4 linked regions of the Medicago truncatula genome follow. Each later gene encodes a partner of the first gene's protein in a complex. Links are inferred from orthologs where the notes say so. Each region holds a gene or a part of one and is shown in the gene's direction. Other genes may lie near its edges. The genes, in order: 50S ribosomal protein L29, chloroplastic; 50S ribosomal protein L31, chloroplastic; 50S ribosomal protein L34, chloroplastic; 50S ribosomal protein L24, chloroplastic.

Evidence for each region.
Region 2: 50S ribosomal protein L29, chloroplastic (region 1) and 50S ribosomal protein L31, chloroplastic share a complex: the UniProt entries of both Arabidopsis thaliana proteins name them as parts of the 50S ribosomal subunit. The link is inferred for Medicago truncatula from reciprocal best matches to the Arabidopsis thaliana genes AT5G65220 and emb2184.
Region 3: 50S ribosomal protein L29, chloroplastic (region 1) and 50S ribosomal protein L34, chloroplastic share a complex: the UniProt entries of both Arabidopsis thaliana proteins name them as parts of the 50S ribosomal subunit. The link is inferred for Medicago truncatula from reciprocal best matches to the Arabidopsis thaliana genes AT5G65220 and AT1G29070.
Region 4: 50S ribosomal protein L29, chloroplastic (region 1) and 50S ribosomal protein L24, chloroplastic share a complex: the UniProt entries of both Arabidopsis thaliana proteins name them as parts of the 50S ribosomal subunit. The link is inferred for Medicago truncatula from reciprocal best matches to the Arabidopsis thaliana genes AT5G65220 and RPL24.

What each region holds. Positions count from the first base shown.
Region 1 is NC_053049.1:41,914,078-41,921,923, reverse strand, and holds the start of 50S ribosomal protein L29, chloroplastic, read left to right. Parts: upstream 1-4,819; 5' UTR 4,820-4,916; coding exon 4,917-5,240; intron 5,241-7,789; coding exon 7,790-7,846.
Region 2 is NC_053042.1:7,238,310-7,244,798, forward strand, and holds 50S ribosomal protein L31, chloroplastic, read left to right. Parts: upstream 1-4,938; 5' UTR 4,939-5,025; coding exon 5,026-5,091; intron 5,092-5,167; coding exon 5,168-5,512; 3' UTR 5,513-5,978; downstream 5,979-6,489. UniProt on the Arabidopsis thaliana protein: Binds the 23S rRNA.
Region 3 is NC_053043.1:4,727,649-4,734,625, forward strand, and holds 50S ribosomal protein L34, chloroplastic, read left to right. Parts: upstream 1-4,562; 5' UTR 4,563-4,600; coding exon 4,601-4,784; intron 4,785-5,934; coding exon 5,935-6,185; 3' UTR 6,186-6,465; downstream 6,466-6,977. UniProt on the Arabidopsis thaliana protein: This protein binds directly to 23S ribosomal RNA.
Region 4 is NC_053043.1:40,655,504-40,662,487, forward strand, and holds the start of 50S ribosomal protein L24, chloroplastic, read left to right. Parts: upstream 1-3,963; 5' UTR 3,964-4,013; coding exon 4,014-4,127; intron 4,128-5,751; coding exon 5,752-5,790; intron 5,791-6,107; coding exon 6,108-6,338; intron 6,339-6,660; coding exon 6,661-6,861; 3' UTR 6,862-6,984. Other genes in the region: calcium/calmodulin-regulated receptor-like kinase 1, read left to right, coding at 1-37, 573-773, 1,239-1,604. UniProt on the Arabidopsis thaliana protein: One of two assembly initiator proteins, it binds directly to the 5'-end of the 23S rRNA, where it nucleates assembly of the 50S subunit. Required for optimal plastid performance in terms of photosynthesis and growth.

The sequences.
Region 1 (7,846 bases):
TTATTGCAGTGAAAACATCGTATCATGCATCCACAAAGCCTCGAGTGATGACGAATCTCTTCCTCCGGACCTCTGACACTCTCCACTTTAGTAATTTCACTATTCATGTTATGGTCTTAATTACACCTTGTAAAAGATAAGAGTGGTTTGAAAATAATTTTGATGTACGTTTTTAAATTTTAAAAGGGACAATTTGTCAAAAACAAAATTAATGGGACAAAATTATAGTTCGATATTCTGCCCCATTTATTTAGTGGTAGCAAGTGCGACATGAGACTTTTGAAACGTATTTTGAGTGGATGTGAAAAGGAGTGGCTCAAGTTGAGTTCTCCGATTAAACCAAACAATTGATGAGGCCAAAAAATTAATGGAAGCTTTAGATAGAAAACGAGAGAGGTTCGTAGCAATCGGTCTAAATCAAAGAAGATTGTGAAAAAATGACATTTGTTACTCCCTTGTGGGCTGTGGCTTTGCCATCATAATTAATGGATATTTTCATTCAAAACAGTTGGAAACATGCACTTAAATTGTAAAATTGACACTCACACACTGTCTCAAAATAATTGATTTTTTTTCAAATAAAAATTGTTTAAAAATAACTCACATCTTCAATTTTCCATTAAAATTCTTGTTAATTCCTAACATGCCTAACCTCGACTAGCACAAAAGTCCACATAGACCAACGCTAGACTAATACATTAACGTCAAAATTTCAACTAACTAATTCCTTAAAAAAAAAATTCAACTAACTACCAACTTTCATTAACATAATTTATTACAGCACTTAAACACCTCTATGATGTCTCTGTGTATGATTCAACATATGTTGGGTCACAAACTAACGAAGATACTTTAAAATTAAATTAAAAGAGATTTAAAAATAAATAGAAATGATATTTGAACAACTAAATTGTACAACCAACAATTTATTTGCTATGTTTAATAATATTTTATCTGATTTCGATTTCTATACTCCTTGCTAGAGCTGTCAAAACGGGCGGCCCGGCCCTAAACGGGCCAACCCTAGCGGGCTTCGGGCTTTAGCGGACCGGGCCAAAAAGCCCGATTGATAAAACGGGCTTGAAATATACTACCCGAGCCCGGCCCTACACGGGCCGGCCCGTATTAAAAATTATATTTTTTTTATTTTAAAAAATATTATAAAACACTACTATAATTTTTTTATAAATAATATTTTTAATATGTTTAAATAATGTCTAGCACAAAAGTAAATTGTAAACATTTTCGTACAAACATCGTAAACTAAAACGACGAGAAAAATGATTTTAAATAAATTAGATATGTTATGGTTATAGATATTTATATATTCGATCTTTAAAACTATAAATAACGAAATGAATAAATATAATTTTATATTACATTTATATTTGTGTTAATTCATTGAATTTTCACTTTTGTTTTATACTTTGATAATCAACTAAGTAAATAATTATTTGAAATATATATATAATTTATAGAATTTTTTTTTGTTATGCGGGCTAACGGGCTACCCCCGGCCCATTCGGGCTAGCCCTAACGGGTACCGGGCTTTTAAGGGCCGGGCTAAAAAGCCCTATTAAAATTCGGGCTCAATATTTTAGGCCGAAGCCCTATATTTATTCGGGCTAAACGGGCTCGCCCGTTTTGACAGCTCTACTCCTTGCAAAGTTAATGGTTGTCCAATTTTAAATGTACAAATAACATAGCTCAAAAATAAAGAGGATGTCGAGAGTGTTTCTCAAGGATATTAGTTAAGCAATTTAAATAAAGATAAATTTTTATTAAAAAAAATGACATAACTATTACTTGAACAAATAGGACAACTTATATTTGAAAAAAAAATTCTATTAATGAATTTCTTTATAAATATTCATGAGACAGTGGTTAGGAAGACCTTGAAAATAAAATTAAATGAAACAAAAAAAAACATTGTCTTAGAAATAACTTAAAATGGATATTGTTTTAAAAACATTTAACGAACCAGATGTCCGGAGAAACAAAAAAAAAACACGCGAACGAATTCCAACTACAAAGGGATTTTCCATTCAGCTTCATGTACAAGCCATAACTTGAGTTCCTCACATAATAGTTTGGGGAGCTGTTTCAGCATTGATTGAAACTCATTCATTGTTAAGTCCCAAAGTGATCCTCCCAAAACGAGACCGCATGGTCGTGGCATGAGAGCAAATGACCCACGAGAATGATAGCCAAAGCAGCCCATAACAAGGAAGAATGAGAAGCAGGAAAACAACCAGATGGGTCAGTGGCACATAAGAACGGGTACCGAGGCAAACAACTAATGGGATAAAACCGCAAGTGCACAGTTCTATCGAAGTAGTAAAAATAAAGTATCGTTCCGACATAGAGTTATGAATTCAATTAACTTTAAATAATGATTAGATGAGAGTTTGAGATTAAAGTTTGAATTTTTAATTAAAAGGAAAGAATAAAAATAAAAAAAAGTCTTGGGATTATTGGTTCATCATAATAACGAATCCTTCACAAACCAAAACCTTAAACCTAGAACTTTATGTTAGACCTAACTTCTAAAGAGTGCCCTCAAATGACAACAATTGTCCCTAAAAGGATCATGGTCGTCCTTCCAAAACAGCTGACCAGGCAGAGGTACAAAGGCTTAAACATTAATCTTCTATTATAAATATTGGATTTTAAACTTGTGATCGTATGTTCGCTATTCACAAAATACACCTTGAAGTAAGACCTTTTTTTTTTAAATTAAATCATGTACTTAAAAAGTAATTCTTAAGTTGAAACTTGAAAATGTTAAGTTAAAAAGAGACTTCAGAAAGTTCTAAAGTGTTACTGTAAAAACAATATATTAAATGTAAATGATTGTGTGTGTGTGTGTGTTGTGTTTACCGTAAGTAAATGGTATAGGAAAGAGAAGAAAGACACGCATAATTTACATTGGTTCATCTAATGGGGGCTAATTCACTCCTCACAATCTTCTGAGATTTTCACTATGATGCTTGAGATAACTTTTTAACTCCTGCATCGTACAACCTTGTTCCCTTGGAACAATTACAACATGTATTCTCTAAGCCTCATCATGCTTACGACTTTCTTTGCTAAGTCATGCAAGACTTTACAACTTTATACTCAGCCTACACTTTAATACTCTTAGAGCTAGATGAGATTTTTCTCTTACAAATGATTTGGAAGTTTGAATGGAGTTGAACAATAGGAAGAAGAAGAGAGGAATAATATCATCTTTAAGAAGATAAGATAAGATTGATTCATACTCTCTGAGATTTTAGGAATCTTTATAGTTGATTTGTGAAATCAATTTTGCTATGAAGCTTTAAACACTTTTTTTTTTTGTAGATAGACGAAATGACAAAGCCATTATAAACTCACACACACAAGTGGAGGTATCGGGGTTCGAACCCCGGTCATGGCATCCGACCTAACAATTTCGTCATTTTGCCAGTTGAGCTAGGACTTATGGATAACTTTAAACACTTTGATTAAGTTGTTTAAGTATGTTTGAAAGTTGTGTGCTTCAATGCAGAGTCTTCTTATCTTTTTACAGAGTTTCTTGACCTCTTGTAGTTGTTAGGGCGTGTGCAATGGTCTTGTGCCACATATCCTCGGACTTAGCAACTATTGCTTGAAGTCTTGATCAACATTATGAACTTCAAAATATTTTTGGGTTCATCATAATACTTAAAAACGTTGTTGTGTTCTTCGGAATATTGTTGTGTTCATCAGGATATTGTTCCTAAGTTCATAAGGATGAATGTCATATGTGTTTTTGGGTTCATCCTATGAATGTCAGATGAATTTAAGGGATTTTCCATGAGTATCGTTCTTCATACATAATTCAAAATAATGTTGAACAAAAGCCTTTGCAAATCTGCCTTAGAACTTGTGCAGGAGAGAGGAAAGTGGAATTGTCACTTCATGCCCATGCTTTAGGGGATTTTCTGATCCTTGTGCAGTACCAAACCCCATGCATGTCTAATTCTCATTGAGTCGCACTTGAGTTTGCTTTTTGTTTTTGCTTTTACTTTTTACCAATTGTACTTGTCCGTCAGATTGAAAGTATGTGCTGGAAATGAACTTTCTGATGTTCATTTGTTTCACTTAGGATGATTTGTAAGACTCTCATTTGATGTAATCAAATTCTAATAGTGAAACATCAATGAAGTGCAGGTATGTGAAACATCAACGAAGTCCACTTAAGTTGCTCTGGTGGTGTTGGTTTGGGTTCTTGGAGTGTGTTTCTCCGCAATGTCTCATGTTTGATTCTCTTCATTGTCAATTTGAGTGGGCTAGTTTAACTTCTTTAAAAAAAAATATACACTGCTTTCGTTCCCCGAAAAAGAAGGCCGAGAGTGACGGAGAAGAAACCAACAATTGAGGAAGTACCATACTCAAAGGTCATTAAACACCATCAACCTGACTTAAATTTCTAATACTCGCTATATTTTTTTTAGTGAAATACATGTGGATTCCAACAATTCATATAACTCATTCCATAAGATTAAATCTACGTATATTCCTCTAAAAAAGAAAGTGAATGTTGGATATCTATAAAAAGCGTTGTTATATCTAAAAAAACGTCTATAACATATTATTATTTAAGTAACTTTGGTTATACATAAATACTTTGAATTCGTAAATGTTTTCAATCCAATATTTCTGTTAACCAAACATTAAAAAAAAAAAATGTTTTCAATCCAGTATCTAAAAAAACTTTTTTTTTATACAAACCAATTCTCTGAATCTAATTTATAAAGAAAGAAAAAATGAATAAAAAATAAAATAAAATAAAAGAGGAGTTGTGCTCATAAAGGATGAAGTAAGATAGGGTGTGGATCTTATCTGCAACTACAACACATACTGCACACAGTTGCTGTTCATCAGATAAAACATACGAGCGCGGAAACACAATGTTGAACCTCTCCGTTGCTTCACCATCTTCTTCTTCAACACTTTCTTTTCTTCCAAAACCATTACATTTCAAATCCTCCTTCAATGGCATTCGTCTACGTCAACCAAACACGTGCACAATCCCAGCGACGAAACGCACCGCTTCGGTCTCAGTTGTGATGATGGCAAAGAGAGAAGAAGAATTGAAGCAAATTAGAACTAAAACCACCGAACAAATCAATGAAGAGGTTGTTGAACTTAAGGGAGAGTTGTTCATGCTTCGTCTTCAGAAATCTGCTCGTAATGAGTTTAAGTCCAGTGATTTTCGTAGCATGCGTAAGACGGTATATTTTCTTACTCTTTAGATTATTTATTCAATTTTATAGAAATTTTAATATACTTTGTTCACATTTGCTTAATTAAATTTTTAGGATAGAGTTGCTTTTGATTATAAGCCAATCTAAATACATTAATAGTGTTAGGTAAATGGGAGTTTTTGAAATTAGGAATAAACGGGGTGCCAGTAGGAAAAATCTATTGAAATTTGTCATTTTAACTTCAATTGAATATTATCAATGTGTTGGAATTGTCATTGTTTTATGGTTATGTTAGAGAAACAACTAGCTTCTTATTGCCTGGATCAGTGCAAGAGATTTATGTTTAGGGCGTCAATAACCAAATACACAAAGCCAAAGACTCACTAGTCACTAAGGTGGGGAATAGTGAAATTATCAAGCCTATGACTTACATATTACACACAATAATCAAAATTGTTAAGGGGACAATGAAATATTGCTCCGTTAGAATGGAAATGGAGTGAAAGGAAAGGAAAGAAGCCTATGTCTACATCCCATTTGCATTATTTTTGGTGCCCATTATACCAAACTTAGGGTAAAATTTGAAGGCATCAGGATTTTTATCTCGTGCAACAATGAAACAAACATTGAAAGGAAAGGCCAAGGGCTTCAACTTCGTTAACTTCGTTGTAGTTCGAGCAACGTAGCTCGTGTAATTATCATAGTTGTCACTCATGTATTGCGGCACAGAGCAATTGGTCCCGAAAACACCGTACCTGAAATATGGAGAGTCCCGAAAATACCATACCTGAAAAAGTGGAGTGGTGTGGTGGCCGTTGTAAGATGGCTTGGAGGAGAAGTCATTCTCCTTGTTTCTGTTCAATTTCAATCAACCAATATGATGGCTTGTGGACTCTTGTTTCTTAGATTCACACAGATTAAATCCATCGCCGGATAGAGTTTAGATCTTTGAGGAGAGAGAGCCCACTTAGTACCATTTGTTAACAAGTGCTAATAGCTAACATAGCTTGGGGTATTCATATCTAGTATAATCTAATCCGATGTAAACGGAAATAACTGAACTGAAAACCGGAAACCAAAGAACCCCTAAACAGAGGACAATAAAACTGCCAAAGAAGAAAGAAAAGTGTAAAGGTCAAGTTTTGGACATGATGCACTGCAGTCTAGCATACTTAACCTTTCTTCATAAACTAGCCTACAATATCTTTTACTTTAGTTGTTTGGACATGATGTAACGTGACTATGCTCACATAACGAATGTCTTTGCAAGTTGCAGCCTATTCTTACACTCAGTTGTATTATAATTTTGATTCAATTAAGCTGCAGCAGATTAATATCTCTGCCTTTATTCTTTGTTTCAGTCCTCTTCATTACATTGCTTTTTTAACAATCAAAATCACGATTTACTCAAAAAAACCTTATTTTATCATGTCTATTTTCACTCCACAATAAAATTCAATTGCTGTGGCCCTTTTTATTTTCATATACGTTATTAACCTTTTCCACTCATGCAACTTATATTCTGTATCAGAACTGAAATTTAAATTGGTAGAAGTAGATTTGACTTTCGAGATCATCGAAAAATCCAAAAGAAAACTCTAACCCAGATATCAGGAGACAAGTGTAAGGATATACCGAAACTGAAAAAAATATCTTAGAAAAGCATCTCTGCCCTTTGTTATTAATCACCCCTCAAATGCTCAAGTTATTTGCTATTCCTCCACACATCTATCCTTCCCACATTAATGTTCGTCTCCATTGGTTCCTGCATCTCCCATTGCCCTCTCCTATTGCCACATGCTCTGTTTGTTAGGATCCAGCATAATAGATTAATCTCCTTCAGTAGTGACAGACGAAGTTCACAGTCCTATTTCAGTTTGCTTTACTATCCGCGCTCCTTTTCCACTTTCGGCAACGTGGGAGGCTCATGACGGGCCCATCATCATTTTATCAGAGTTCATGTCCCACCAAGAAAAATTGAATCGAGGAGAATGGGCACTAAGGATTCAGTAGGCAAAGAAGCAGTGCATTAGCTAGGATTTAGAATGTTTAGATTCCATGGTAAAGGCAAGATATGCACACCATAGAAAAAGGGGAGAGAACAATATTCCCCGGGGCACTCTTTAAGGATCCCAAATTTAGTAATTATTCTTTTAAAAAAGTCAACCATTACAATTTCCAATGCATTGAATACACAACTTTTCATAAACTTACTATTTAAACTTAACATTTTCCTTTATTTTTTGGTTTTAATATTGGCTTAATAGCAGTTTCAGCCCCCTAAGAAAAAAAACTACAAAACCGCCCCCTAAGTTTTGCATCTGTGGCAGTTTTGGCCCCCAAGGCCAATTTTGACTCGGTCTACGCTGACGTGGCACCCTAAGTTAGGGGGCGGTTTTGTAGTTTTTTTTCTTAGGGGGCCAAAATCGTAAATTTGTGAAAGTTAGGGGGCGAAAACTGCTATTAAGCCTTTTAATATTACCCTAATAATAATAACTTCAGATGATCCTATAAAAGCTTTGCCAACAAGCGGTATCCTTCTTTTGGATGAATAATTACTGTTATTATTGATGTAGATTGCTCGCTTGCTTACTGTAAAGCGGGAAAGAGAGATTGAGGAGGGTATTGGTAAG
Region 2 (6,489 bases), on another chromosome or scaffold:
ATTTTTTCCCTTTTTCCTTAAAAAAAAATGATTTTTTCCCTTAAAAAAATCATGATATATGATTTTTTGATTAATGAAATTGATTCTTTCCTAATTTTTTTTTCTTTCTTTCGAATCCTCAATTATGATAGCTTAGAGCACAAATATCAGCAGTGGTATTGCCAACGTGTGCCTGTGTGTGTCAGTTTGGATACTGCTTGGACACTACGGTGCCAAGAATGGCAATGGTGCCATTCTTTTCCTTTTTCACCTTTTATCAATAGTTTAAAATATAAAATTGAATATATTGTAAGATTAGTGAGACCTATTTTAGAGTTTTGGAGAGTCGTGTGGATATTTAGAAAAATGTAGTTGGGTGGTTTAAATAATTGGAAAATGTAAAGTAATATAAAATATTATGTGAGACCCATTTATACTACTCATATGGGTGACATGGATGTGAGTGCTCTTAGTTACGTTATTTTGTGAATCATGATTCAAAAATATATATTGTGAATCATAAATTAAATGAAATAAAAAATAAACTTTCAATTAAAAGCTTTTTTTTATTTTATTTTTGATAAATTTAGTAAGCTTTGATGCATTTTTGTTAATACATTTTTTGGTTCGAAACATGGTTAAAAGTTAAAACATTAGGTTGAATTATTTTTTTTTAGGGACATTAGGTTGAATATTTTATTTACATTTAATTTGACTGACTTAAAATTTATTTTGGTCCCTTATTTTTTTTTATTCACTATTTGGTTGTTTCTAAGTTTGAAAATATAATCTCAATTTTCAAAATTTTGAAAATGTAAATACAATCCACCATTGAACTGGAGGTATTTTTAGGTGACTTGTCAAGTTGAATAAAAGAATGAGCTGCCATGTTACATTAGTGGGTGACAATGCACATGCAAGTTGTTTTATGATAATAAAATTTAAAATAGAAAAACGAAAACCCCTAAAAAAAACCAAATTCACCAACAAAAAATGCATTTGTCACCTCTCAAGTTAAAGATATTAAACATCCCTAAAAAAAGTTTAAGATATTAAACATAAGATCTAAGAAAGAATCTGAGGATTTGATAATAGGTCAATTGATTTAATAAAAGATAAAGAGTTAAAAGTCCATTATTCAAAAAAAAAAAATATATAAAAAGAATGTGAGGTTTTGATAGGTCCATTGATTTAATCTAAATGATAAAGAGTTAAAAGTCTTACATTTAAACTGGAACGAAAAAGAGTAAATATTAATCTAAACAAGTAGTATAATACGTATAAGTTTGTAATTTCTTTCAGTCAGTTTGAATAGATTTTCCATTTTCGGGAGAATAAACCTTCCTAACCTTCTACTAACGACCTTTACGTTGAGCACGTTACCCACCAAATGGTTTTGTTTCTTTATTGTTTTATTTTATTTTATTACAAACTGGTTTTTTGTTGTTGTTGAGCACGTAACCTACCAAATGGTTTTATTGTTTGGTGGTTAATGAAGAAGACTAATAACCGCCGGTAATAGCTGATTTTTGTTGTTGTTGAGAAATCCAGCAACAGCTGATTTGTCACTAATTCATTCGATAGATGTAGATAGAATATAATCCAGTAGATAATCTCGCACACGTTTGACGACTTGCATATGATATTGTCGCTCGAGCTAGTAAATGAGTTACATTGTTGATTTTCCTTCTAATAAAACTTATCATAACGTTTGGAAAAGATTGCATAATAGTTTTACGAGCATGCTAAATTTTGACATGCTTTATCGTTTATGCCGTCTATAACTAGCTTGCAACCTAATTTTATACACTCGAGTATAACCCAAATTCATAAGCCAAAACAACGCTTGTGTTCAACCCACATGCTTGCGCCTCTTGAGAATTTGGTTGGCTAAAATTCTAAATAGTTTGTGCTCGTACACAATTTCTCTTGTTGTCCGAAAACAAAGATGTCGACACCGAATGTGTTCTTGTCTCTAAAATTAGTCGCATCAACATATACTTCCTCTAGTCACACAATACATTTAGTATTCACCAAACTTAAAAATAATTTTTGCTTATAAATGTGTCCGGAATGAATAATTAGTTGTTTTTTGTGTCGATATAAATACTTGATTTATTATTATTAGGAAGCCTTAATCCTTAAAATTTAACTAGTTGAAACTTGAGAAGTTTGAATGGTGGGCTATGTGCTGCATTTGAAGTTGGTGGTTACAACTTACAATGTTGGAATTTTAGTTAGAGAAAGGAATGCACAGTAGTAAGGAAGATTTAAATATAACGACAGTGACACTTACAATGTGGCGACGATGACAGCTGATAGGTTTACAAACAAACAAACAAGGATTTCTAAAGTTAGCACATATTTTTGTGATGTTCGTGTTTTTCTTCAAAATCACAATGGTTGTTGTCACGTGGTATCATCACATACACCTCACAATGTTTTGAGTAACAAACGACCATAAAAGACTAAAAAAGGAGTACTGTTCCCACACTAATTTTAGATGGATTTGCTTCGTATAAATTTAAGTCACTACCTATCACGTTGGTCTTTTTTTCTTGGCATTGCCTATCAAATCAAATTGGATTAAAATGCAATGTCATGGGGATTTAGATTTCCCATATTAAATTTAAGACACGTCAGTTAATGTCGACCGTCCTATCTCAAAGTAAATGGGATAGGTTACTTAAAAATTACTATTCAGCTAGAGAAATATAGTTAAAATGACGGTTTAAGATTTCATATTTAAAAATAATTTTTAAAAAATTAAATAGTACATTTTTTAATGTGTTGAATATACAATTTTTTATTAGAAAAAGTATATTATTTAAGGTTTTTGAAGAGTGAGTACTCGGATAATACCATTTTACATCTTCCTTAAAAAATAATTATTGTACTATCTATATATTGGGGGAAAGAAACAATATGTGGATTGGACAAGAGGACATACCACTACATAAATTTCGAAAATAAAAATTACATCAATGTAAACGTTAATTTTCATTTATATTATCCTTTCCAATTTTTTTATCTTTGCTGGAGGAGGAATTAGAAGAAAAAAAGTGCAGGGGTGTTCTAGGTCATTTGTGGGTCCCTTCAATCCGATGATCCATACAAGTTTATCAGGTAATTTATTTGAATTCATTTGAGTTTGGATTCAACTCAATTCAACCCACTCAAATTTAAAGTGATTTGGATTGGATTGTTGTTTATGTTTTCAAATACATGAATTCACAAATTTGACTCATTCAAATAAACTTTGATTTTTTTTTTTAGGAGAGTAAACCTTGAGTTTATTATATATAGATTAAGGCTTTTATGTGTTAGTAAATCATAATGGATAACCAACAATATCAAAACAATAGAAAGAAAAAGTAAAAATATAATATAAATATTTGAAAGAAAATTATCACAAAAATGATCAAAAAATAGTTTATATAAATATCATTCATCTATCCATATTGACATGTTTGATTGTACATTCATTACCTTTTTCAAGGGTACGATGTAAAATGGTTTTCCAATCCAAAATTCAGGAGGATAAAGTAAAAATAGTGAGAAAACAATAGAGAGATAAAGTAAAAATAATGTGAGTATGAGAGATAAAGTTGTCACAAAAGTTGTCATTAAATAGATGTTCAAATATCATTTCTCTATTGCAGAAATGATATTCTAACAACCTAGGTTGTTGTTACGACAACATATTATTATACGGCCTAGGTTGTTGTCCACTTATTTTTGGATGTTCATATATCACTCTTCTTTTTAATACTACATATTTTTCTCGACAAATGTATTTTGTGGTTGAACTTTGATGGCGAAATATGGGATGCTTATATGATATCTAACTTGATTTTATGGAAATGAACTATTAAGTGAGAACTCACCTAGACATTGTTTTACATCAAAACTGTTTCTTTTGTGATATGGATTAATGACGGGGTGTATACGAACCGGTTTTTAAGGATGAGTTAGGCCTCCAATTTCATTATGGTATCAGAGCCTGTCGAATTCAAGGGCCACCTACCGATTCACGCACCAAACCCAAAGAGTGTTGGGCGTGACAGGGGTGTATTGGGAAAAAAAATCCATGTCCCACATAAGATATATAAGACTCTTGGTAAAAGTTTATATAGAGGAGACAATTCTCACCTTAAGAATCAATTTTTAAGGATGAGTTAGACCTCCAATTTTATTAGATCGTGTCATCAACTGAGTTGTCAGATAAGCATCTCATTTATCACATCATCAAAGAGAAAATTGGCGATATAAAAATAGGAGTACCAAAATCGCAAAGAAGGCAAAATGGAGAAACCAAAATGAGATTTAATAAAAAAAAAATAAAAAACTTTGTTGTGCATGCGTGGTACCACATTGGATTTGTCATGGTCATGATTAACTACTGTAATTTTTTTTACTATGACTACGGTAATTTTTAAAATATACACTTTGTGTCTATCTATTTAGAAAAAATAAATGAAAATCACATTAACAAAACACATCTATCAAACTCTTTACTTTCTATCTTATTAAATGTAAGTCAAATTCACACATGTACTCAAACATGCTATATTTAACTTGCAAAATGACGATAACTCATCGTGATTCTGAAAAAGCCACGGTGTCCCATGATATGAAACATGCATGTAATCATAATTTATAATTATGCAATAAATGTATATATACATATATGTGGTCTCACACATACCATACATTATGATTAAAGTTGCAGTTCTCACATCCATTGTTTTTTAGAAACACATAGAAATGACAAAAAAAAAAAAAAAACAGTGGTAGTTAACTAGCGCTGACTTCAAAATAGAAAATCGGTAGTAGTTAACTACCGCTGAGTTTTTTGGTCATTTACTAATGTCTCTAAGAAACAATGGATGTAAGAACAACAACACTCCATCATGATTTCCTAATGGGCTTATTGGGCCTCATGAAATGAAAGAAAAAGCCCATTTTGAACTACAAACAAGAACAAGAACATATGTCCACACCACACAATCTCAAATTCTCATATCTAATCTCATCTGCAAAAAAATGGCGCAGTGCATTACCAATACCTTTGTTCAAGGAAAACCATTCCTTCCACTTCCCACAAAAAACGTAGTAACCAACCACTTCCTTAAAATTTCCAATTATTGTTTCTGTATTAAACTAACCAACATGTTTTTTTTTGTAGTTGCAGAATCAAAAAGGAAAAAAAGTGGGCAATTTCGGAGTGTATTGTAAGAAGAAAGACATACACCCAAAATTCCATGAAGATGCTAAGGTTTACTGTAATAACGAGCTTGTGATGACAACTGGTGGAACCCAGAAAGAGTATGTGGTTGATGTTTGGTCTGGGAACCATCCATTTTACCTAGGTAACAGGTCTGCTCTTATGGTGAGTGATGATCAGGTGGAGAAGTTTCGTAAGAAGTTCGGTGAATTGTCACAGATTATGGAGATTCCTGTGCTTAAAGGTGAGATTGTTATTCCTTCTAGACGTAAAGGGATTAAAAGTGGTGGAGGGAAGAAGAAGTGAGTTATTTGTGTTGGAATTGTAATTTGATTGTATGGTGTTTGTTAAAATGTTTCTATGAGTTTTTGTTTTGTATTTTGAATGATTATTTATTTGATGTTGTTTTTGTTAGTAATTCATGTTTGGATTGTTGCGAGATTGGTATAATCACTGTGAGCCAATGTGATTTTGGATAACCAAAACTACATTTTGGAGCTTCGGAACTCGTTGTGAATCCAAACATACACTTATATGAGAAACAAATATGGTTTTGGATTCCCTATTGTCTGCATTTACGCAATCATGAATCTCGACTATTGAATTGGATGAAGTTATATTTTAAAGAAGATTTCTTAATGCTGTGTCTGTTTTTCATCCAATGGTTGAGATTTGTTGGCTGTTGTTGTAATGTGTGATTCTTTCAATTGTAAAGAAACATGGTTTTTGATATATTTCGAAAGGAACTTGCATGTTGTGTATGCTTTTTTAACAGGCAAATGTTATTAAGCTAGTTGCCAAGTTAATTTCTAAGGATCAAACTCTGAACTTTGTGCTTAAAACTAATGAAGCGTCCATTAGTTTACTAATCGGGCTATTTAGTTGAGATGTGTGGTGTACGATTCTAAAATATTAGAAACTTTGTTGAACTTGGGTACCATTTGCTACTGCAAAGAAAGTACGGCCACAAAGCTTACCTTTGTTTTAATTTTATCAATTAAGAATTGAGGAGGGCAATGAGCACTATCTTTCTAATAATGACATCTCTAACACTCATTCTTTTCATTTATTGGATGAAACCAATCTCGGTATCATATTTTGAAAATGAATTCCACATAAAGTGATGAACCCATATGAGTTATACTTATACTCGAGTGTTAAAAAAAGAGTGTTTCTAACTTTTATCTTAAGAATTAGACGATGCCTTAATTCTTGGAGCTAAACTAGTTAAGGGCGTGCAAAAGGAGTTATAGCTATTATGCTTGAACCCTTAACTATGGTTG
Region 3 (6,977 bases), on another chromosome or scaffold:
CTATTTTGCATAATTTGCAGATTTGGGAGACATAACAGTTTCAATTGAAGGGGACAACGGAAGAGTAATAGAAACAACGATAATTGGCATCCCAAACCTTTCAATTTTATGTGAAGTTTCTAAGGTAACCCATTAATAATAATAGTGACACCAAGTAGTTTCAATAGGAAGGAATTCTCTCAAGATTCTGTAAACGGTTACAAGGTTCTCCATATGTTCGATTTAGAGCATCCGTAATAGCAGTAACAAAACAAGAAGCTGAAAATCCGTTAGTCTTCCGGTCATGTGTGCCATTTAACATAAGAACCTTCATTTTTTCAATCAAATTAGTGAAAAACAGAAAATTGAGCGAAAAACTAGATAACTTCAAATGTTTGAGATTTCTAAATATAACCCACCATTACTCAACCAATATAACATATAATCCAGTGTGAAGCTCATGCATAGTAGCGCTCATCAAGTATTTTACATTTATGCAAGAAAGCATTAATCACTCTCTAGTTAATAACAACATGCCTGGCATATCATGAAACATGGGTTTAACATGTTGGAAAATAAATGCACGAGGCTTAGTTATGGAACCACTCCCAGCCATTAAATGGATTGAATTTGAGGTTCAAGTTTAACAATTAAGATGACGAGAAATACCCTAAGGCAGGACCGTGAAGGAATAATCACCCCAATCCCCAACCATACGTAGAAAAGTTTGCAAGTCAGTAAGCATCTAATGGGAGATCAAAAGTGTCATAAAGAGTGAAAGCTAGACGTCCTAATCCAGCAAAGTTACATATTAATCTAGTAAAAGTTGCCTAAGAATACTGGGAAAGTTCAAGTATCAAGTATTTCATATTCAGACACAAGATCTCGATACATTCACAATATTCAAGGCAAATAATGCTGTCAGGTAATTAAAGCCCAACGAATGAATGTGAGAGTCTTAGCAATGAGGGTCAGATTGAAGTAAAAAGGGAGCCCATGCCATACACAATGCAATCTATTCAAAGAAGAGAAAAAGAAGTTTCCGTTATAAATTGAGCATGATTAGGAACACAATACCAAATTCAAAGTTAGATTTCGTCTAGTAAGATAATATTTTCATAATAGATAAAGGTAAAATAGCACCCACCAAAGGAGAGGGAAGCACGTGAAAGAGCTAAAACCATAAGGGCTGAATCTGAAGTACGAATCAAGGTCGAGCGTGTTGCAAAAAGAGATGTTGACGAGGCCAAAGAGGGTTGCAGGCTGCAGCTACTGTAAGTTTGGACCAATAGAAGAATGAAAATAATCTTGAATCCTTCTTTGGCATCGGTGCAAGACCCAACAGTTCTCCAAGGCTTCTTAGGGCTAACTCTATGGCGAGACACTAATGTTAGGCACTGGGAACATCATCTTCAACAGGAAGTGTCGTTTCTACATTTTGTAAAATAAAGAGACAAAGGAAGTATATTTCATGATATTAACCTTTTGTTTTTTTTAATAAGTTTGTATTGAAATAAAATTTTGTTGTTACCTTTCTGACTTGTTTTTTTTTTGTTGGCTTGTATTGTTGTTGTTCATGTGATTCATTTGATGTTTTGAACACACAAAAATCTCACTTAGGCTTTTCTTCTCAACTATAATTTCTCCCACTGTCAATGGAACCATCATGTTAAATCCTCAGAACTATGAAGGAAATTGACTTTCAAAGCTTGAGAGCTTGAAAATGAGAATTCTCAAAAGAAATTATGTTGAAAAGATGCTCAAAAGAAAAACAATGATTTTATTTAGGAAAATGATATTTGGTGCATATTTGGAACTTAACCAACTATCAAAGTAACTAGTATCCTAAAGTACTAACATAATTTTATTCTCTTTAACTATCACTATTCATAACACAACCTCAACATAATTTCATTCTTTTACTTATCACTATTTTTAACAGATGCTCAACATCTTGGCTATAAATTATTTAAGGCTAAAGTGTGTTATTCGTCTCTTTAAATATGACTTGTTTGAGTTTTGGTATCTACAAAAAAATAAAAAACGTTCCAGCAAATTTTTTTGTTTTTTAAAATAGTATCTAGGCCCATTTTCTTGCCGATTTTGCCCATTGCTACTTATTTGGCAGATGCTGACTATGTAAAGTTGACCACGTGTCATCCAGGTGGTAATTATCATTTTAATAAATCATAAAATTGATTTAGAAATTAAAAAACATTTAAAAATCCTTTTAATAAAAATAAATTGATTTTCTAAATTAGAAAAAGAAAGATAATTTTTTCTGCACATAAATATCATAACCCAATCTTCATCCCAAAATTTCAATTCTTAATCCTCAATCTCAAAATCACATCTAAAAAAATAATCTTACACACACAAACAAATCAGACTCATCCCAAGTTCAAAGAACAAGCAACATTGCAACACGAAACAATTGTCAACATTGCAAATGAATCTCAACACTTCATTAACCAAAAAACCTAATCAATCATCAACATTTCGGTGTTGTATATATGTGTGTTTTTTTTTCTTCTTTCTATCAAATATGATTAAAAATTAGTATTTTAATATTTTTGTGTTTTATATAATGTAGCGGTAAAACTCACCGACACTGTTCTGTGAGTTTAACTTAGTTAATAAGCACATTGCATAAATATGTAAGGGTCAGCGTTCAAATCCCGCATACCCCCACTTCTCCGCATTTAAAATATGTAAGGGTCACTACACTAGTTGATAAAAAAAAAAAAACTTACACAGTCCTCGTGAGCTTAACTCAGTCGTAAAAACAATTTATAATATATGCAAGGTTCGAACCCTGGACACCGCAAAAAAAAAAAAAAAAAAAAAAAAAAAACTCAAACTCGTACTCTAGGTGTGGCTTTATTGTAAATTTGAATTCACCACTCAAACATATCAAATGTTTTTGCAACTTTTTTTTTCTATAAAACTTCTTAATTATAATTAAGGGATAGAGCTTCAATTAAATGAAACTTAATATTGAAAATATAACTTTTAAAACTTTTAAAGTATTAAATGCACAATTTCCAAAAAAATATATACTCCCTCCGTCCCTAATTAAAAGACCCTTTTGAGAATTTTTTTGTCCCTTTTTATAAGGCCCCTTTGTTATTTCCAACTACATTAATTATTTCTTTACATACATGCCTCTATTTATTATACATTTTTTTCTTCAATCAACAATAAATAACATGTTGAAAACATAAACTAACCTTCTTTCTTAAAGATAAAATTGTAAAAACAATAGTGATTACAAACAACTTTAATACAAATATCCAGTATCTTAATTCCCATGATTTTAGCAAAAGGGTCTTATATATAGAGACGGAGGGAGTATATATTTGGTTTCTATCATCCCCCTTTTTTTTTTTCTTTGTCCACAATTTAGCTGTGACGAATAACATTATTCAATTAATAGCTGCCTTTTGATTTAGTGGTGACATGTTATTAGACACAAATGTGTAAAGTGGACTGAGTTTAATTAGATTAGAGACAAAAGGGGTCGGTTTATTCTAGATAGATTGGTCATTCCTTTTTATTTTTTCGTTTCTATTTTCAATTGAGATTGGAAACTTAGAGATACAAATAATCACAATAAATCCTTGTTGATGGTTTCAACTACTCGAAGGAGACATGAAACAAAAGGGATTGGTTTGTGATAGGGTTCTAATTTCCTGTTGACTATATATAGGGGGACATATAACCAAATATCACAGTGATCAAAATACCATGACTATAGATCAGAAAGTTGACGACTAAATAATTAATTGAACTTGTGATTGAAGTTAATATTTCAATAGGAAACAAATGAATATTGTTTCATGACAAAAAAATTAAATAATATTGCAAGACGGCGAACAACACAACGTAGCACTCAGACTACGAAAAAATTAGATCAATTTAAAAAATCACTTATTTTAAAAAATAAAGAGAAAAGAAAATGAAAAGATGTGATTTCATATTAAAAATTAACTCAAACCACCTTTCAAATAAAGAAAATGAAAGAGAAAAACATAGAAAAACAAAGAAAATTACGGGCTAATTGGAGAAGGAGAACCTACAGAAAGATATAACAACACACCAATACCTTCAAATTTTGTCTTAGTAAGTACATATTATTCAATCATTTATTGTCATATTTTATTTAATTTTAGTTTGTTTGAAGCAAATTTAATTTTTGAGTTAATTTTACATCTGGTGTTGCTATCCAACAAAAATCTCCGATATTTTTTCATTTTGACAAATTAAGGTAATTAATATTAAGTTAAAAAAATGAAAAAAGAAGGAAAAAGGTAGAAAAGTTCTTCCAAAAAACAAAATAAAAAAAATAAATAATAAGAAACGAAAAAGATGATGAGATGCAAGCCTTGCAAAGGGGTATAGCATAAAGAATATGAATGAAAAAAAAAAAAAAAAAAAACTGGAGATGCAGGGGATCGAACCCTGTACCTCTCGCATGCAAAGCGAGCGCTCTACCATTTGAGCTACATCCCCATCTGTAAAATAATCGTATTAAAATATAATTATTCTTGAAACACTTTCAACAGTACTCACTGGTTTAAAAGCCGAAAACACGTAGCAAAACTCACAAAAAAAGAGGATAATGGCTTCGTTATCATCTTCTGTGTCTCCTTTGATATCCATGAAATTCAGAGCACCCACTTTCACTGCTTCTTCAAAACCATCTTCAATCTCTCTCAATTCCTCCAAATTTCGTTCTCCATTGCTTCATTGCTCATTCACTTCTTCTCCTACTTCTCTCTCTTTCAACTCTTCTTCCATTTCAGGTACAAACTTAATTTCTTAATTTCTTTTGTAATAAACATACCTGTACTGTTAATTTTTCAATTCATGCCTCAAACATTGTTCAATTTTTTTGTTATTGGGTATGCAATTGGTAATTCTTCCAAAAAAAAATGTTTTATTGTTGGGTTTGATTGAACTTGACTATGGTGACTGTTTGGAATGGAAGTTTAATTTTTGGGTTTGAAATGAAATTTTATCTCTGAAGTTTATGCTTCTGCATTTGTAATGGAAAATGGGGTTGTGTTGTAAGTGGATAAGATGTCTTGTAAATGCTAGCCATATTGTTACATTCTTTTTGGATGAAATGCAATAAAAGACACCTCTAGAATTTTAAATGTAATCTAGTAATTTAATGCCCTTGCTTCGTGCTTCACCGCAACTAATTTTTGAATCCGAATTGAATAGAACTAGTTTTGAATGTAGTACTGGTATGTCTCAATTCATTTTTTAAGATGTTGAATGAGTAGAAAAATGATTTTAATTGGGGTGATGAAAATTGTCGCTCTACTCTCTCTAAGGATTGTGGTTTTCTAATACTACTTATTGATATTCATATTACTAATGTTAACATTGCTCTGGCTTTGGAGGAGTTGTTTGATACATTATCATAGGACATTTATTTTTTTGTTGTCTGGTTTTTATTAGAATGATGTTTGTTGCAATTCCATGCTCATCTTGATCTCAGCATGACTTAAAGTTAGGAATTTGGCAAGTCGTTATTAGAGAAAAGATACTCTGCTGTTTACCTGTGTCAGATGGAAATACTTCAAAGACATCCTTTGTAAAGATTTGAAACTTGAGCAATACCTCAAGATAGAAATACCTCGTTAGATTGAATTTTAACCGTCAAGGGTTCCATGTAAATATCAAAGTGTGTTTGGTGAATGGCACAACAGCGACACATGTTACAGCCAAATTTTTTATTTTCTCAAATTATGATCGGTGTCAACGGGTCCGTGTCAGTGCTTTGTTGGAAATTGTATGTGAAAAATAGAGAATACAAAAGAGGTTGTAGTTCTTTTGCAATAATGGATGCTTTGCTTTCAATTGTTTGGTGAATTTGTTCAATCTGCATGTATATAGTTAAAAAATTTGTTTGGATTTAGCTTGTTTTGATTTCTCCATGTCCAGGTTTGTCACTAGGATTGGATTTGAAACCTAATGTTGGACCTAGAAGACAAAATGGTCGTCTGGTTATAGTAGCAGCAGGCAGACAAGCTCTTTGTTTAACCAAGAGAAGTAGATCACGAAAATCATTGGCACGCACTCATGGATTCCGCAAACGAATGAGCACAACAACTGGAAGAGCTGTATTAAAGCGACGACGTGCCAAGGGACGAAAAGTCCTTTGCACCAAGAGCCACCCAAATAGTGGCAAATAGTCACACAAGAGCCTAAAAGTATTATATTTGTGTATTTAGCTCCTTAAACTTGGCCGCATTTCAAGGTTTTTCTTTCTTCTTATTTTCATAACAATGGTTTTATGTACTCCTTTATATTTAAAACTTGTATTATTTTAGGCAAAATCTTTGTTCCAGTATGCTGCAAAAAATATGCAAGAGACTTGATGGAATGACCAACAAAATCAGTTTTGCATGTATAACAATATCTCTTATGTGATTTTTGTTAAATTAAAATGACCGTACGTTATTTAGTTGATTATGTTTTGGTGCAGATATTTATTTATGCACTTGTTTGTTGCAATTGATCTTTCACCAACAGAAGTTTTGTTCAACTTTTTTTACATTAGTGTGTGTTTTAGGCAACAAATTTTATTCCAGTAATTCGATTTATTATTATTAGTTCGTGTATGTTTCATTTATTGTCAAATTGTTAGAGTTACACCTTGTTTTAAATTATATATCATATAAAAACCAGCTTTGTCTTAGCTTTCAAGTTTCAACAAATAATACCAGCTTTACTCATAATACCATAGTCATGATAACTTCTATAGAATGCCTTAAATGGCAATCATGATTGCTATTTGATGAGGTCATGGTAGTAATTGTTGCCACTAAACTTGAAGATGTCCTAAAGAAGTCTATTTTGTACTAAAACCTCAGTTAGTTCTAGTATATAATGGTTGGATAAAATGAACAAGGTATTTGTCTAAAGCTTTCAACTTTGTTCAGATTTTTTATTTTATAGAAAATATCCCACGATGTGCTATCACT
Region 4 (6,984 bases), on another chromosome or scaffold:
TAACAATATTCTCTTGGATCAGTCCATGCGAGCCCGGGTATGTCCTGTTAATCATCACTTTTTCTAAGCATGACCTTGTATATCATTATCAGTATTTTACGATACATGCTAGTCGTATCTCGATTCAGCACAAGATTATAAACTCAATTGACACAAACCTGTAGTGTGTATCTATTTGGACTTGAATCTCATCTTGAACCCCAAATTATTATGAAGAAACTCGATTCACTATGATGAATCTCGGTTCACTTTAATGAATCTCGTTTCATTCTACTGAATCATTACACTTAGTTTACGCTGCAACCTATTTTGTCAACTTTGTACAGCCTACCACTTTTCTTTTGCCATTTGATTTATGACTAGAATTTTGAATTATTTTGAGGTTTGTTATGTATGTCACATGTTTTTACTTAAAAATGTTATATTTTTTACTTGAAATTTGATTTGATAACCATGATCTTTTATTCAATCTGTATGATCTGAGATAATGCTGAATGACAAAATATATATTTCCTCTAATAATTTATTGTGGGTTAGAATTCTTATGCTCTTATTGATTCTGAATCAAATAGGTTGCTGATTTTGGACTTTCAAGAGAAGAGATGGTGGATAAACATGCTGCTATTCGTGGCACCTTTGGCTATCTGGATCCTGAATATATATCATCCGGGACATTCACCAAAAAAAGCGATGTATACAGTTTTGGAGTGTTGCTCTTTGAACTTATAGCTGGCCGAAATCCTCAGCAGGGTCTTATGGAACATGTTGAACTTGTAAGACCTCTCTCCCTCTTTCAAGCCCTGTTGAAAATAAAATGTATCTTGTTGTTCTTTCTTCTTTGCTTGATACATAGTACATATCGAAACAAGTGGTGACAGATCTAGAAATTTAAGTTGCGGAGACAATACTCACAAATCCTTGTAAATAATAGGGCTTATTGTGGTTCAATTCAGAAAGAAAACCGTACCAAACTAAACCGTTACGGCGTTACCACAGTTCATAAAAACTGAAGCGAACTGTTAATGGGGTCCGTCCCAAGAGGTGCACCAGTTCGATGATTCTGAACCGAAATAAAACTACCTTTACAAAAAATCTAATTGTTCTTTCTTGAACTGAATTTATATTAGTTGGAAAAAAAATTAAAAAAATCGAACCAAATTGAATTTTTTTTGATGCAGCACACCATGATATCTAATTAATTTTTTCTGTTCTTATGAATGCTATTGATGGATGATTAGGCAGCAATGAACTCCGAGGGAAAAGTTGGTTGGGAGGAGATTGTTGATTCAAAGCTCGAAGGAAAATGTGATTTCCAAGAGGTGAATGAAGTGGCAGCACTTGCATACAGATGCATCAACCGTTCCCCAAGGAAGCGTCCTTCGATGAGGGACATAGTTCAAGTATTGACTCGGATCCTTAAAGCAAGGCATCAGAGGAATCATCACAAGAAGTCTCTTTCGGCCACAACAGATGAAGTTGCAATTGATGTTGATGAGCCAGAAAATAAGGGTCATGTTACTGACCACAGAAGAGATGAATCTATAGATAGTCGCCACAGAAGAGATGAATCTATAGATAGTGCAACTGACATGTATGATTTGTAACAAAAATAGCTTTATATTTAGTTCTTTTATTTTCTATTGTTTTATTTTTATTTATTTTTTGGCTTTGGATAATGATCTTTATTAGACATTAGGCTTTGAGTGAGTTAATGATGTTTGGCATCATCTTCTGTAGTTTTGTGTAACATTCTTTTTTTTTTTTACATTATTTTTTACTTTATTGTTTCATTCTCTTGCCTTAGTTCTGTTGTCTCGCAGAACAGAAACTCCTAAATTTGTATATTATTACTTTCATGAATGAAATTGATGTGAAAAAAGGGTTACTTTCATGCACGCAATCTATTTTCCGACTCAACTAACAATCTTAATGTCGAAAATAATTTTAATCTCACTTAAATGGATTTGCAAATTATTTGAGGGATCATAGTTTTAATTTCTGAAGAGTTAACTAGGATTTCAATTGCAAAATTAATCTAACTTCATAAATTTTAATCTCTGTACAAGAGGAGCTCCCTGTCAACCCTACTGCCTGCGCTGCACCAGTAACGAGAATCCGCTTAGCACATCATGGTAGCATGTTCATTTGCAGCTGACACAGAATCTGCTTGGCATATCATGGTAGTGCGTCCATTTGCGCTGCACCAGCAACACAGAATCCGCTTGACACATCATGGTAACGTGTCCAGTTGTAGCTGGCCATGGCAGGAGACAGGTATGTGGACTGTCCTTGACAGATTTATTGATATGAAGATTATTGCAAATATTTATTATTCAAAGTTGCAAATACAATAGATCCAAACCAGCTAGTCAAATGGTGTACAGATATGCGAAGTTTGTGGCGCTGCAGAATTTACACTTATGGAAGCAGTTGTTGAAGGTCTGCAGGAATTGCATCAGAGAGCTACGTCCTTTTTAGAACACCGGCAGCAAGTCAATAACCATATAGCAGAGAAGCAGCCAGAATGGTGATGACAAAGACCACCGGTACGGATGATAAAATGTAACATTGATTCATCGTTCACGGACAACTATGTTGGTGTAGGAATGTGTCTAAGCGATGAAGTAGGCAATTTCCTGCAAGATCGAACAGATCACTATTCTCCTCGCCTCCTTGTTCATGAAGAGCACTTGGTTTGATTGAAGCAATCAAGTGGGTTATAAGCTGGAGATTGATCATATATTTTTTGAGTCGGATTCTAAATTGACGGTTGACAATTTTAATAAACCAAATCGGGATATGTCCGAACTAGGTTATATTATTGATGATTCATGATTGTATATGTTTTATTTAAGTCCCTTTTTTGTCAAAACTCTGGTGGTGGAGTATGTTAGGAGACAAACTAATGTAGTGACTTATAAGCTAGCTAGAGTAGCTACATACAGTCAAGTCTCAAAACTTTGATTTTATCCCATACTATATCTTGCTTGATAATGATAAAAGAAATTACTTAAGTTTGCTTGCTTCAATTTTTTTTCTTTTTAAAATATAAATTTATCAATTGCAAATATGTATGCAACAGTGTAGAAGAAACCTCATAACATATATATTTTTTTAAAAATTAATAATGCTAAATGTTGTTAATAAGTCCTTTTAGATTACTGGATACAAAATAAAAAATAAAGTATAGGATATATCAAAATATTTAATAAGATGCATTCTATATTTTTAAGGATAAAACTTGGTACATTCATTTTCTTAGGTATTTTTCGTATGTTTCTTAACTAAACTATCCATGTTTTACTTAAATCGATAATTTTTTTTTAAAGTTTGTTATAAGAAAAAGTGTATTTTTAATTTAGAATTGTACAAAAGCACATAAGAAAATACATCTAAACGAGAGAAGTATAATTCAAGTATCTATTAAGAGGAGAGACATATAATTTACTTTAAGTTTTTACTTCTCAATAGTGTAAGGCAATTACTTACCACTCTATTTCATCTCACATCACCAATCCAAACATAGCACAATAGTGTAATTTACTCTAGTATTTATTATTGAACAAAAAATTAAAGAGAAAAAAATAATAATAATTGGTTCATTCCGAAGAGAGTTACAATTGAAAATTGCTTCTCCATTTCAAAATTACTTATTCCCTTAATTTAGTGGGAAACTCTCGCTCGACATTTTTCAGCGTGAGTTAACTCACACCAGCACTTTTAAGATCGATTGAACCGATTTAAAAAATGATTGAACAGATCTTAAAAATGTCGGCGTGAGTTATCCATGAAAAATGCCGGGAATTAATTCCTGCCGAGTTGAGGGAATGAGTAATTTTGAAAGGAAGAAGATCAATTTTCGTTACAATTTGGGCTTACAAAACTAACCCACATAAAGCCCATGATCCATTTTCACACCAAATTCTTCAATTTTTTCTTTTATTTTGAAATTTTGTATTATCCAAAATCATTATCAGAAGCAGAAGCAAAAAGAAGAAGTTACAGCAACAAAAATGGTAGCTATGGCTATGGCTTCTCTTCAGAGTTCCATGACCTCACTCTCACTCTCTTCCAACTCTTTCTTCGGCCAGCCTCTCTCTCCCATCACTCTCTCTCCTCTTCTTCCGGTACTTCATTCTCTTACACTCTCTCCATTAATTTTGCAAATTTGCTTCTTCTTTTTGAATTAAAGTTTCAATTTTTATTATTCTAGGTACTTATTTTCTAATTTTATCCACATGGGGTTTTTGATTTTAGTGAGTTTTAAGAGTCCAAGTTCATGGGTAATAGCATTTCGTGTTTATTTTTCTAATTAGAATTGTGGTGATATTGTTTGAATTTATAGTTAATAATTATCATCTTCATAGAATTAGTGGATGCACTAATCAGTTTATAATTCATAATTCTGTTCATGTTTATATGGCATGTCCTATTCAACGTCAATGCTTCTGATTGAAGGTGTGTCTCGGTGTCTTATTCATTTTCTTATTAGAATAAATTGAATCTGCCATTTTGTAGCATGACCAGTGCTATTGGAATTGAATGTGAATAAGCTCATAAGAGATTTAGATTTTTCACATGACAATTGTGTGTCTGAATGTGTTCTTTAGACAATCACAAATTAAGATAGGATTGAATTTGACAAATATAGTGCATATGAAGAAGGAGATATAACACAATTTTCATATCAATGTGAAAATATTGATTAAAGGATCCATTTCTAACTAATCCCTTGTAAGAATATATGTGTTCTTTGATGTGTGTTCATTTGCTTAGTGCTTGCCTAAAATTATCATTTCTAACTAAGCCCTTGTAAGAATAAATTTAAATGTTATTTGTTCATTTCTAACTAAGCCCTTGTAAGAATATATGTGTTCTAACTTATCTTTTCTCTCTCATGATCTTCTCTAAAATTTAGAGATAGACACCAATTATGGAAGGAGAAGGAGAGAGTGAGTGGAAGTGGAGGATCTGGATCCAAATTTTAGAGAGAAGATCAAGAGAGAGAGAGAAAAGGTAAGAAGATCGAGAGAGAGAGAGAGAGAGAGAGAGAGAGACACATATTTTGGGAGGAAGGAGATGGAGAGTGATTGGATGGAGAGGAAATAGAAGATTTTGATGAATCCTCTATTAAAAAAAAACACAAAGCTATCCTAGTTTCGCTATTAGAGAAATAGCGGCCACTATTCTAGTTTCTGCTAGCAGATGTAGTGCAACTGTGCAATAGAAGAAAAGTAGAATATTTGTTTTTTTTTTTTTTTTTTTAAATTACAAAATTGAAGAGTCTGCACGTGTAGCAAACAAGAACTATTTTCAAAATAGAAGAGTCGAATCGCCAGAGAGTAATACTCTCATATTCACTGTAATACGTAAGCCTTTATGTTTGTAAGCTATGCTTTGCCTCCATACCCTTTTTTATTTGTACGGAACATGTCTTTCGTTATATATAATTGACTTAATTCAAGCCTTTCGTTATATATAATTTACTTAATTCAACCAATATAGAGTCTGCTATTTCGCATAACAGATTTTTGGCATTCCACTATTTTCTGTAATCTGCGATTGACAACACTACGAAAATGCAATAATGCTTAATGTTTCATTCAATGTAATGTAACTACTACATTTTGCCAGGCTGAAATTTGACTGTTTATAAGGATAAAATGAATCTATATTGTTCTTCTTCTTACAGATGCATTTCTCAATAGTTTAGTATGCTAAATCTATATTGTTCTTATTGGTGATATGCAGGGTAAGCCGACAGATAAGCAATGTCGTATTGTAATGAAGGTAAGTATCAAATACTTCCCACATCCATGCCTAATATGATTATTCTCTTTAGTTTTTGTTAAACTAAAATCAAAATCAAGCAAATGTTAACTATAGTGATCCGAGAGCAAAGAAATGTTTTTTTTTCCGTCAATGGCATTTTCATACTCTTGCAAAAATGAAAACGATACAAACCTTATGATTTCTTTAATTTTATATTGTAAAAAAACATAAAAAGACATTGGTTTATAGGTCATGAGTCTAAATATATTGTCTAACAACTAACCTTATAAAATGTCTTGTGTAATATTTGTTTTGTTTCTTTTCTTTTCTGGCAGCTTAAACGATGGGAGCGAAAGGAATGTAAACCAAACAGCCTTCCAGTGTTACACAAATTGCATGTTAAAGTTGGAGATACTGTGAAAGTCATATCAGGACATGAAAAGGGTCAAATTGGGGAGGTTACTAAGATCTTCAAGCACAACAGCACTATCATTGTCAAAGACATAAACTTGAAGACAAAGCATGTGAAGAGTAGACAAGAGGGAGAACCAGGGCAAATAAATAAGGTTATTATCATTTCCCTTTACCAGAGAAAACATTATTATGAATTCTTCACTCTTAAGAGTTAGAGAATCTCCTATTATATAACATTCTCCTTTGTTTGAGGGAACTCGAGTTCAAATCCTGGCTGGAACAAATTTTGGTCAATTTTATTTACCTCCCGACCGAAGTTTGGATTACCATGCCTCTTTTCTCTAGAAACTTGAGGGTTAAGACAAAAAAAAGAAGTTTAGAAACATGCGTTGATGTTTATGATTTTTGTTTTTTTTTGGTGCATTTCTTGTCATGGACTCTAATACTTTTAGAAACCATTGCCTTGAATTTCAGATTGAAGGTCCTATCCACAGTTCAAATGTGATGCTCTACTCTAAAGAAAAGAATGTCGTAAGCCGTGTTGGTCATAAAGTTATTGACAATGGCAAAAAAGTTCGTTATCTAATAAAAACTGGAGAGGTAATTGATAGTGTAGAGAATTGGAAGAAACTGAAGGAAGCTACTAAAAAAACTGAAGAACTTGTTGCTGCCTAGTTTTACTATATTAATTCATGCATTCAGCAGTTATGTAACTCAATGTAGTTGTATTATTTTTTTTCCCATTTTATTGTTAAGTGTATATTATGTTGTGTTATTATTCTGGTACCTATGTTGATC